Tribolium castaneum: one gene and its partners. The protein of the gene in region 2 purifies or fractionates together with the protein of the main gene of each other region. This does not show direct contact. Links are inferred from orthologs where the notes say so. Each region holds a gene or a part of one and is shown on either strand. Other genes may lie near its edges. The genes, in order: IFT57, nompB and IFT46.

The links.
Region 1: the proteins of nompB (region 2) and IFT57 purify together in Homo sapiens (affinity purification with mass spectrometry; 3 studies listed by BioGRID and IntAct, counting the BioPlex papers as one, with this or other methods). This does not show direct contact. The link is inferred for Tribolium castaneum from reciprocal best matches to the Homo sapiens genes IFT88 and IFT57.
Region 3: the proteins of nompB (region 2) and IFT46 purify together in Homo sapiens (affinity purification with mass spectrometry; 3 studies listed by BioGRID and IntAct, with this or other methods). This does not show direct contact. The link is inferred for Tribolium castaneum from reciprocal best matches to the Homo sapiens genes IFT88 and IFT46.

The regions. Positions count from the first base shown.
Region 1 is NC_087402.1:750,015-754,115, reverse strand, and holds IFT57 (intraflagellar transport protein 57 homolog), read left to right. Parts: upstream 1-1,168; 5' UTR 1,169-1,183; coding exon 1,184-1,352; intron 1,353-1,399; coding exon 1,400-1,560; intron 1,561-2,795; coding exon 2,796-2,911; intron 2,912-2,952; coding exon 2,953-3,554; intron 3,555-3,765; coding exon 3,766-3,926; 3' UTR 3,927-3,948; downstream 3,949-4,101. Other genes in the region: apoptosis-resistant E3 ubiquitin protein ligase 1, read right to left, coding at 854-1,040. UniProt on the Homo sapiens protein: Required for the formation of cilia. Plays an indirect role in sonic hedgehog signaling, cilia being required for all activity of the hedgehog pathway.
Region 2 is NC_087394.1:29,197,837-29,202,005, reverse strand, and holds the start of nompB (intraflagellar transport protein 88 homolog), read left to right. Parts: upstream 1-1,236; 5' UTR 1,237-1,502; coding exon 1,503-1,652; intron 1,653-1,697; coding exon 1,698-1,990; intron 1,991-2,038; coding exon 2,039-2,234; intron 2,235-2,285; coding exon 2,286-2,503; intron 2,504-2,548; coding exon 2,549-2,780; intron 2,781-2,846; coding exon 2,847-2,994; intron 2,995-3,048; coding exon 3,049-3,242; intron 3,243-3,290; coding exon 3,291-3,477; intron 3,478-3,527; coding exon 3,528-3,787; intron 3,788-4,169. Other genes in the region: zinc finger protein 260, read right to left, coding at 26-610, 664-810. UniProt on the Homo sapiens protein: Positively regulates primary cilium biogenesis. Also involved in autophagy since it is required for trafficking of ATG16L and the expansion of the autophagic compartment.
Region 3 is NC_087400.1:5,250,640-5,254,100, forward strand, and holds IFT46 (intraflagellar transport protein 46 homolog), read left to right. Parts: upstream 1-1,530; 5' UTR 1,531-1,630; coding exon 1,631-1,657; intron 1,658-1,710; coding exon 1,711-1,839; intron 1,840-1,883; coding exon 1,884-2,113; intron 2,114-2,154; coding exon 2,155-2,410; intron 2,411-2,460; coding exon 2,461-2,573; intron 2,574-2,616; coding exon 2,617-2,902; 3' UTR 2,903-2,942; downstream 2,943-3,461. UniProt on the Homo sapiens protein: Forms part of a complex involved in intraflagellar transport (IFT), the bi-directional movement of particles required for the assembly, maintenance and functioning of primary cilia. May play a role in chondrocyte maturation and skeletogenesis.

The DNA of each region.
Region 1 (4,101 bases), on a different chromosome or scaffold from region 2:
TTAGTTTAATATGAAAATAAATAATTGCGAAAAATTCTGAGAAAAAAAATCACGTATAGAGAAAAACGTAAAGTCTTTAACAATTATACAATCTTTTTTTAGTCAAATAATCCCCAACTATAAAAATAAAAAATCACCAAAAATCATTCCAACACAAAATGCGTCCAAGTTGGCAGCATTTGAACACGCCAACCTACCTCGAACATATCCTTTGATAAACGATAACACGCGACCCTAATGAGTTACTTTAACGACTACAGTTTATGGTAGAATTTTAACCGCAACCATTTTAATTTTACTATTTGTTTGCCCAACAAATTCCACATTTACTCCCTGCTGTGAGATGACCAACTTTTATTATTGGTACACATTCAAAATAAAAAAATTTACAAAATCATGAAAAAAATCAAGTTGCGTGTTTTAGAACCGGCGCATCCACCATTTCGCCTTCAGTGGTATAATTACCATCGCCATTACACCCCAAAAAATGGCCTGGTGTTTTGAATTAATTCTTACCAGAGGAGGCACTAGCGGACGGCTGCATGGTCATGCCAATTGAGCAAATTTCAGTATCGTCATCCCACAACATTTTAACACAACACACTCACAACCAACAAAACAAACCCAGATATGTTACATTGATACGGAGCGAGTTTTCAAGGGGTTTCATGGTATTTCTGTGGTAGCAGGTGCTGGGTCGATGGGTGCTCGCCAGCGACTGCAGTGCCTGGCTTTGTTTGTAACCCTGGGCGACTGTATTCCGATACTGCGCCCTCGCACCCTTACATTTGCACCCTTAATCAGGCGCGTTTCGCTGCTTTTTCCAACGTCATCAGTCATTAATTTCACTCACCTTTGTCAACAAAACAGTCCTTGAACGGTGACAAATTGTTCCGTTCTAGCCATTCATCGACTTTACCATCCGGTTTATTGTCCGATTCAAATAATCCAGACCAAAAGCAAAAACACAGTCTTATCACACTAGCAACACTAACAAAAACCAAAAATACAACAGCGAATAGTTTGGCACAACGCTTCATAATACAATTTTACGAAATTTTCGTTACATTTTGGCTTTTTTTCGAGTTTGGTTGAGACGGCTGTGCCCACTTTTAGCAACCGGCCGCCATTACTGTTTTTGTCAAATGTGGCGCCCTCTAAGTGGGCGGAGCCGCACGTTACCATGACAATACGAATACAAATTGACGAAATTTTACGCCAAAAAATGTCAGAAGAGAGTGAACAAACGTTTTCGGCTTTTAGCCAAATGGAAGGGCTTCTAGATAAGTTGAAATTGTTGAATTACGAAGCTGAATTTTTCAAGGAAACTAAGCTCAAGCCCATCCATAGGAAAGTCCCCAGTTTAATAATTCAAATAGTAATGGAATTAATTACAGGTATTATTTTGTTGTTACCAAAAACCCGGGCGAACAATTTTATTTGTTTGCCTTATTGGCGGCCTATTTAATACAGAAGATTGGAATTAGTTTCCAAACGCCACAAGAGGATGATGACCCGAATGTGACCGTGGAAAAAATACTAGATGTGGTGCGAAAAAATGTAATTCATTATTGAAATTTGCACTATGGTTGGAAACAGAATATAAGTTGGTATTTTTACAAAACACAGTATGATACGTCATTTTTGTCACGAGTTTATAAAGCGAGTTGCATACTATATTTTTTCTACGACAGTAGAAGTAACATTTGCACATTTTTTTCGAAAAAAACATAAAAGTTTCAACGATTTCTCTCTTAAAAACCACCAAAATAGCATAAGAATAATTAAAATTAGATATTTTGTGGCCAATTTTATATAAAATGTTTGAACTAGAATTTTTTCTTGAAAACTTTAGACTATATATTAATTCCCAAATCGTTAAATTAAATCACCAAACCCCAAAAAAACAGCAAATTAGATCGAAAAAACGTTTTATTCTAACGTTATAGCATTTTTTTTAAATTTTTAACTCTAATTTTTCACCAAATTTTGTCAAAAAGCAGCAAATTACGGTAAAGAAGACAATATTCTGGAATTTTCCAAGTTCAAAAATTCCTTATTTTGAGAAACTCTGAAATAAATGAGTCCAAAAACTCGAAATTTTTGCTGAATTCCGTCATAAATTTCTTAAAAAATCACGAAATTAATGTGTTTTTCGTCAAAATTAATATAAAATATCTAAACTATCGTCAAATTTGTGCATCTTGGCACAAAATTGAGACAAAAAACACAAAAAAACAGCAAATTAGGTCAGGTCAGGTCAGGTCAAAAAAGTTTAATTCAAACATTTAAGCATTTTTTTTAATTTGAAACTTTAATTTTCCACCAAATTTCGTCGAAAAGCAACAAATTATGGTAAAATTAGCGTTGTTTTGGAATTTTTCAAGCGTGTAAGTTGATTTTTCAGGTAAAAATTCTCATATTTCGAGAAATTCTTAATAAAAAATTAAACCTCAATTTTAAAATAACACAGTTTTACATAGTTTTTTATGATTTTCTGCACGTTTTCGTCTTAGGAACACGAAATTTTTGGCAAATTTCACAATAAATCTCCCACAAAATCCCCAAATTTGTGAATTTTTTTAAATATTTCAGTTAAAAATAATAAAAAAATATCCAAACTATCGCTAAATTTGCGCCTTTTTCAAGCACTTTTAATTTTTCAGCTAGGAACTCATTTTTTTCGCTAAATTTTGCCAAAAAAAAACAAATATCAAAAAATAAACAGACGTAAAATCAAAAATTCTGTTTCCATCCACTAATTTATTGGCCAAGTATTAAAATCCGAATTCTAGGAAATTGCTGTTAATTTCCACGCCAATAAGCTGATGCAAGGTGTGGGCGAACAAGTGGTTTACATTTTGGACAGTCTGGCCAGCAAGGCTTTGGAGAAAAATTTCATGTTCCAAAAGTGAGTAAATCCCCCTTTGTTTGCTTTAAAAATTGTGTTAGGCCTTTGCTTCCCGAGGAAAAAGCGGAAGAAAGCGAGCTGATAAACGACGAATCCGAGATAAACCTTGACCGTGTGGAGGAGGAAATGTTGGCAGCTTACACGGACGATTCCGACGAGGAAAACCTTTTCCTCCTTGATAACGTGAAAGTGGCCCGGAAAGAGCCCCAAATGGCCGAAATCAAAATGAACGTAAATGAAGAAGCGTGGAAATTGGAACTGGAGCGAGTTCTCCCGCATTTAAAAATCACAGTTAAGAATGAAAACCGTGATTGGCGTTCGCATTTAGAGCAAATGAAGCAATACAAAGTCAGTGTTGACTCGTCACTTGGTGTGGTTAAAACACAGTTGGAGAAGTTGCATAAGGAGATAAGTCAAACGCTTGATAAAATCGCAAGTCGAGAGAAGTTTCTCAATCGGGAGCTGGAGAATAATTTGGATGAATATAGAATGCTGCAAGATCAGCTCTCGAAAATCAGAGATGCTTATAAGGGGATCAGCGAGGGGGTTGCTGAGAGGAATCGCGAGCTGTTCAGGCTAACGGATCGATTGGAGACAGTCAAACAGCAAATGGAGGAGAGAGGGAGTTCGATGACGGATGGAAGTATGTTTTATCCACTGGTTGGGTACTTTATGGTAAAACGGAATTTTATCGGCTGGGAAAATAAAGTTCGCAACCGTGTCTGTTTTTCTGTTTTTGACATTTTTTCAGTCAATATAATGGAAGGATAAAATTCACAATTATCTATCTTATCAAGCGTTTGAAATTATATTTTATCGTCTTGTAGATATTACAATAAATAATTTTTTTTCAGCCCCTTTGGTTAATATTAAGAAACAGTTGGGTAAGGTCAAGTCTGAGATTGTGGAAATGGATGTAAGGATTGGAATTTTGGAGTGTATTTTGCTCCAGTCGAAAATTCGAGACGAGAAAAATTTGGAAACTGAGTTTGGACAAGCGATTTCGGTTTTCTAGAACAATAAAAGTTTGTGATGTATTATGTTGTTTTATTGGTGGGAGTAATTTGATGTAAACTTGTGTAAAATGAGCCGGGGAATCGATTGGCGTTGAGAAAATCGACAAATTTCCAATAGTTTTTTAATTACGAATTTTTTAAAATTTCACCAATTTTTGCATTTATCAGCAATTT
Region 2 (4,169 bases):
TCACACTAGGGGCACAAGTGCTCACCTTTGAGTGAACCACAGTATTATCCAAACCCCCACTTAAAGTAATCCCATCAACGGTATTTTCAGCGCTCATATTAACATGCAACTCGTGTTGCAACCGAAACTGCTCATTCAACAACTGCTGATGCGGAATTAAATCTAAATTATCACCGGCAAACCTCGCACTACCATTCTCCACCAAAATTGAGTCCTGCGTTTGCAAACTGTGGTTAGAAATGTCCTGGTTTAACTCATGGTGGTTCAAATTAATGTTTTCAAGAGGGTGACCATTGATATCAACACTCTGATGGGTCAAAATGATCTCATGTCCCACAATCAGCTGCTCCCTGGGCCCCAAGTGAGCCAAATCAATCTCATCAACCCCACCCATGCCATGGTTGGCCAAGATCTGCTGGTTCTGCGTCATGATCAGCTCGTGCTCCATGGGCACAACCCCCATGCTCTGCTTGCTGGAATTGATCTGCTTCAACAAATCTATCAACACCCTCTCCGTGAGAATCGTCTTCTCCTTAAACTCCGCCAACAAGTTGAGCTTATAGATGCAGTTCTCGCACACCATCTTGGGAAGCTCGTCGGATTCGTGCACCTAGTAAACACAAGTGGTGAGGAGGCAAGCGCCTAACCTAACATTCGCATTACTTGAATGGAAAGGCAAGATTCGATTTTTTTCCGCAATTGGCTTATTATTCCGTCGTTTTGGAATATGTGGACCGCCAGAATCATCGTGGTTGTTGCGGCACAAAGTCTGCACAGCTCGTTATATCGGGAAGGGTCGATTGCGGCCATTTTGGTGTATTAACAATTCCAACAAATTACACTTCGTGTTTTCGACTTAATACTACATACTGGGCCCCCACACGGCCCGCGAACACGAGAACAAGGCTAGAGTTGCGGCGGAAGGACAATAAACATGAAAAAAGCGGAAATTCACGGCGGATTGGAAAAATTACGAAAACAACGTTTGTGAAAAAGACGTAACACGAAGAACTGTCAAACTGAGGTGGGCGCAAGCGCCCAAGTTGCGTGTTGCAGAAGTTTCCAAGACGCGAAAAGTATTAAATAAAAAAATATTGCTTTTATTGCCAATAATTTATTAAATTATTTGTTATCACTGTTCAAACCACGGTCAAAACTTTAAATGATTTTTTACAATAGCTGTTGTAAAAAATAAATACGAAAAATCGATTCAAAATATAAAAAAATATTTGAAAACTTGAAAAATACATACCGACTAGTATCTACTGGTAATTCCTTGAATAAAATAATAATAAACAACAGGTACCCCCATGTGGGCCTGTGTTGATAATTGGAGTTGTTAGGGCAACCCCCAACATCAACAAACACCTACGCCTTCAGCCCCAACTTATCGACGAAACGAGTCTTTCAGAAGGTTAAACCTATTAGTAAACAATCAATAAACGAACCCAGAAACCCCTTCATTACCTAATTCTTTAAATACCGCAAAATATAACGAAAAAATGACCGCAATTGAGTCGCCTGATTTCATTGCAATCAACAACACGTCATCCCCAACCGACGATTTTGTAACAACCAAAAGTGTAAGAATCGCAGAAATGGCCAGATTATCAACCCCTAAGCCCATAATGTACCTGGGATCAACCACAGAGGCAAGTCACAAAATTGCAAACCATCAAATAAACCAACTATTGCAGTTTCAAAGACAAGGAACCGGGATTCCCAAGACCCCCTACAAGCCTGGAACGGGATACAGGGCCGGGACTGGGTTCAAACCCACGACTAACTTTAAGCAGACGAGTTTTGAAAAACCGGGAACTGGGTATAAACCCGGAACTGGGTTCAGACCAGGGACTGGGGCCGATGTGGTGAACAGGCCCATGACGGCGGTGCGCGGGGCTGGGTACACCTCCCATGGGAAACCTTTCGACCCTTTGAACCAAGCTGCTTCGGCCCCAACGCCGCCTCTGGAGTTGCAAAAGGATGACTCGTAATTTTGTTTGTCTTTCGTTGCTAATTTCTAATTTTTTTGATCTAGTCCCGAACAGAAAATTCGGCAACAAAAGGCAAAAATCATGCAGCTTGTGGAAGAGGCGTGTGTCGCGGAATGCGAGGGTGACTATCGGAAGTCGCTCTCTAAGGCTAAAGAAGCGTCAAATAAGGAGCGGGTTTTGATCAAAATGCAGGAACAGTCTGATCTGAGTGACTTGCACGATATTGATTTAACTTTTGTTGTCAGTTTGTCCAAAAAAATTTTTTAGTGGTTACTCAAATTGAGCTTCCAGGTTTTGTTCACACTTGGTAACCAGTACGCAGCCAATGAATTATACACAGAAGCACTCAGCACGTACCAAATGATCATAAAAAATCGAATGTTTTCAAATGCACACCGTTTGAAGATAAATATGGGCAATATTTATTTCAAACAAGGCCAGTTCCAAATGGCGGTCAAAATGTATCGCATGGCTTTGGACCAAGTGTCTTCAAGTCAAAAAAATCTGAGGTACTTTTTAACAATTTTGGGAAAAATCTAGTTTTTGTTTTACAGAATCAAAATAATGCACAATATTGCGTTAGTTTTTATCAAAATGGGCCAATGGGAAGAAGCAATTTCAAGTCTGGAGTACATAATGGGCGAACAAGCTTGTCATAGGGCAGGCTTGCACTTAATTATCTGTTGCAGAGCTTTGGAAGATAGAGATAGAATGAAAACAGCATTTTCCATGTTACTTAACGTTCCTCTGGAAGTCGAAGATGAAGAAAAATACAACCTTGAACAGGTACAAAGCAGTAATATGTACAAAAATTTCATAAATAATTCATAATATTATTGTTTTTACATCTAGGACAATCCAGAAGATGTACTAATCGCTATGGCTATTCAAAACGACGATTTACATAAATACGAAATAAAAAAATGCAAGGACGCCGAATACTGCATTTTAACGGCAGCTAAGCTTATAGCACCTTTAATTGAAGACACATTTAGTTTAGGTGATTAAAAGCGATTAAAGCAATAATAATTTTTTTACTAAAACACATTTAAAGGCTATGACTGGTGCGTAATGTCGATAAAAAATTCAGAATACGCTCGACTGGCCTCAAATCTCGAAATTAATAAAGCGGTAATGTTTTTGAAACAAAACCAATTGCCTGAAGCAATCGACACGTTGAAAGCCTTTGAAAAAGACTCAGTTATTGCAATCAACGCTGCAATTAATTTGAGTTTCATTTATTACTTGGTAACCCCCACGTAAATAATTAACAAAATTTAATTTCATTTATTGAAGCAAGGAGACATCGAAAATGCAACGAAATACGCGCAAGTTGTGGAAACAAATCCCACAAAAAGTGCGGACGGTTATGTAAACCTGGGAGCGTGTTTAATGGCGAAAGGACAGCCGGAAGATGCCATTAACTCGTTCAAAAACGCCTTGGAGTTAGATCCGACTCACTTTGAGGCAATTTACAACCTCGGTACGCTTAATTCATTACATAAAAACGAAACACAAAACCAAATTTCGTAGGTTTGGTGCTGAAACGGCAAGGACACTACGCGGAAGCCCTTCAGTGTTTTCAGAGATTTTCAGGCTCGCTTGCCCTTCTCCCAAATGTGGTTTACCAAGTTGCTAATTTATTAGAATTGAAGGGTGACAGCGAAGCCGCTGCCGACATGTACCAACAATTGCTGGGTCTTGTACCAACGGACGCTGGGGCGCTGCAAAAAATGGGCGAGTTGTACGACCACGATGGTGATAAACAACAAGCCCACCACTACCACATTGAAGTAATTTTTACAATAGATGGGATAAAAGGTATCCGGAAAAAAATTAAAAATATGCGATGTTGAATAATTTATTTTGGAATTCCAAAGCCAAAACAAAACGAGCCAAACACAAAATATTTTGAGAAAAACAAAACAAAATGTTACGAATTATTTGCCAAAAAATAATTCGTATAGTAACGAATAACGAACCAATGATTAAATATTTTGAGAAAACCAAAATTTTTTAAAGTCCTATCTCTGTATAACCACAGAAAAATCTGTCCAGTAAATTAGCCAAAAAATAATTCCATTAAAATCAATCTAATGTCAAAATATTTTGGAAAAAAACACATTATGAAAGCCCTAAATAGTTTTTTTTTGCATTCGAAAGCCTTGTTTTCTA
Region 3 (3,461 bases), on a different chromosome or scaffold from region 2:
TATTCGTCCAAATATTTAGTTGTTAGGACTCGTACTTATGTGAATTTGCGAAATTTTACTAAGAACTGAAATGAAATAGCAAGATAGTTAAAATATTTTAAGACATTTCATAGAACCAGGGTACATATTAATTTGTTATTCTTATTACTTTTTTCTATCTATTATGTATTATAAACACGCAAGCACATTTCTAGAAATTTAAACGATAATTACTGTTCCTTAATTAGGAAGGAAAAAATGTTAATTAGACAAATAAGACAAATTATGCTATCGTGTATGAAGTTTTTTGATACAAGTATTATAATTTGTACAGTCAACCCTAAAAAACTAGGATTTTTTAAAATGGAGTGGTTCAGATTTTTTTATTTCCTCAAAAACATATACAGGGGGTGTCTCAAAATTGGCAAATTCCCAGTTCAGAGCATTGTAGACAATCACTTCAGTAGTCCAAATGTAGAAAATTCGAGGCTTCCCCACAAAGACACATTGGTTAGCATGTTAAAAATTTCAATGTCTATTGTTAATTTTGATGTAGGTGGTTGTGGAAAACAACAATGTAAAACAATTTTTCGAAAAATTAACTTCATTTTGAAGTAAAAAAAACTTATATTTTTCTTTAATTGAAACGGCAAATTACAAAAACTTAAAAATTTTTTGCTCCATAAGAAAGCTATTTTAATTTTTTTAATTTTTTCTTTTATTTTTTTTCATGTTATTTTTTTATTTTATTTTTTATTATATTTTTTTATTTAATTTTTTTATTATACAGTGGGCTCAAAAACTGGCGCACTAACTCAATGGTGTGTGGTAGAGAACTGGTTACATATAAAGGTAAAAATAGTAAAAAAATTCTTTGTATTAAAGTTATTGATAAATAACGGATTTTAGATAAATGATATGTGGCAACGTTGTCTAATAGTCCTGATCGCAATAGAATTTGAGCAACAATAAAAATAAATTATTTTTGAAACGGTTTCCTAGGAAATAATTCCCAGTGTTGGCACATCTACACATTGGGATTTTTTGGATAAATTTTAATTTTTTTAAATTAAAAAAACTGCTAGAATCTGATAGTAAATTTTAAAATAATTATTCATCGTTTTGTTACGGAACGATTACCTGGTATGAAACATAAAAACATAAAAAAATAATGAAAACTGAAGAAGTTAACAAAATAAGTTTGTAGCTCCAGATTTTTTTAAATATGGGTTTAGGAATTTTTTCAAGATTTTTCCCGTGATCTACACATGCTTCTCAACAACGTACCACTGAGTTGGTGCGCCAGTTTTTGAGCACCCTGCATTTTTTTATTTTATTTTTATTATTTAATTTTTTTACGATTGGACTACCGAAACAATTTTCATCTGAACTTGGAATTCGTCAATTTTGAAACACCCTCTATACCTAGTTTTGCGTGCTGTTGAAAAAATAGTTATTCCATTTTTCATTAAAAAAAATTGACTTACAGTCGTTTTTTTGATTGTATCATTTTCTAAAAATCATACTAACGCATAAAAAAACAAATCAAGTTACATCCCCTGTTCAGTATCCACGCAACTCGGTTGCTAAGTAACGAAATACAAACAAAACAACGCCATTTCTAAATCAAAATCATTATTTTGACACAAAAATGCAACGGTCATTTTCAATTGTTGACGTAAGTTGTAGGTATTTCCCCTAATAAATTTTTACCCAATTTTCACTTGAAAGGACGAAGAAGAGAGCGAAAATTTCGATGAGCAAATCCTCAAAAAATACGGAGGCGCGTTATCTGAACGCTCAAACTCGCAAACAATCAACGATTACGAAACCAATTTAGCCAAAATGGCCACCAGACAGGTAAAACCCCCAACCTGTGTCCAGAACCGTACTTAGATTTTCAGGCCTCGGCCACCGACTACGACCCTGACAAACACTTATCTAAAATCCCCAGCGCCGGCCCTTCGGGCCGCCAAACTGTCTTACGTAAACCAACAGGTTTATCGAGTGACAGTGAAGACGACAGTGACGAAGAAAAAACAAAGGATGCAATTCCGGGTGAATATGACCCGAAGGAGTACGAAAATTTGGACGTTAGTCCCGAAATTAAAGACATATTTCAATACATAACAAAGTGAGTCGATTGAAATACTTACAGGGCTGCTAAATATTTAGGTACATCCCCCAACAAATGGGTTTGGACCACAAGTTCAAACCCTTCGTGCCTGAATTTCTCCCAGCGGTTGGCGACATTGACGCGTTTTTAAAAGTCCTCCCGCCAAAAACGTTGCTCTCCGACGCGGACTTCGTAGCCAATCAGCAGCTGGGACTGGTGGTTTTGGACGAACCGGCGGCCAATCAGAGTGACCCGGCCTTGCTACACTTGCAACTGAGGGCGGAGTCGGTCAAAACGACCAATGACAGCACTGTGGTACCTAACCCCGCTTTCCCCCACCCCTCAGTCATGCTTTACACCAACAGGTGGTCAAAAAAATCGACAATGTTGAGAAAAACGCCAAAATCATCGATAAGTGGATTAAAGACATTTCAGCGTTGCATAAAAGCAAGTCGTTTCCGGCCGTTCGTTACACAGAGTAGGTTAGACTTTGAGTGACTTGACCTGACTGAGTTTTCCAGACCGATGCCCGATTTGGACGAGCTGATGCAAGAATGGCCCGAAAGTATGGAAAAACAGCTGAGTGAGAACGGATTTCCGGAACCTAAGGGAAATTTGAGTGATTATGTGCAGGAAGTTTGCGGGTTGTTTCAAATTCCGGTCAAAAATAAAATCCAAGCGTTGCATTTGCTGTTTTCGCTGTTTGCAGCTGTCAAAAGCTCGCAGTTGTTCAAAAACGGCCAACTTGGGAAAGTTGAGGAAAGCGAGTCGATTGGAAACGTTGCCGATCAGTTGGTACTGGATTAGAGGACACTCTTGATAATTACAAAATAAATCAATTATCTTAGCCTTGATCTCGATTAATTTAAATGCCCTTTTGGTCTTGCCGAAGCTATGTTTACAATTCCTGTTGCCCTTCTGTGAAATACTTACCTATAGTCTGTTATTGCAAGCTCGTGCAAGTAAATAATAATTAAAAGTGTTTGATAAAATGTGCATATTTTAAAAATAGCATAATTGGTGCGTAATTGCGTAGGCAACTTGATCTTGAGTGACCACAAATACTGGATGATTCAAAAGTCCCAGATTTTTGATGACAAAAATTTGTTTGAGTCTTATATTACTTTTTTATTATTATTTTTTACTATTATTATTATTTTATTTATTATTTATTATTATATTATGACCACAAACTGGTCAGAACTGTCAAAACTAAAATGATATCGAATTATCAAATACTTTTTAATAATGTTCCTGCACACGCACTAGATTTTATAAAAAAAAATGCCTCACCCTGTATTTATGTTTGGTTTCTCGATCAAAATAAATAAATTATTATAATAATAAATTAAGTAAACAACAATCA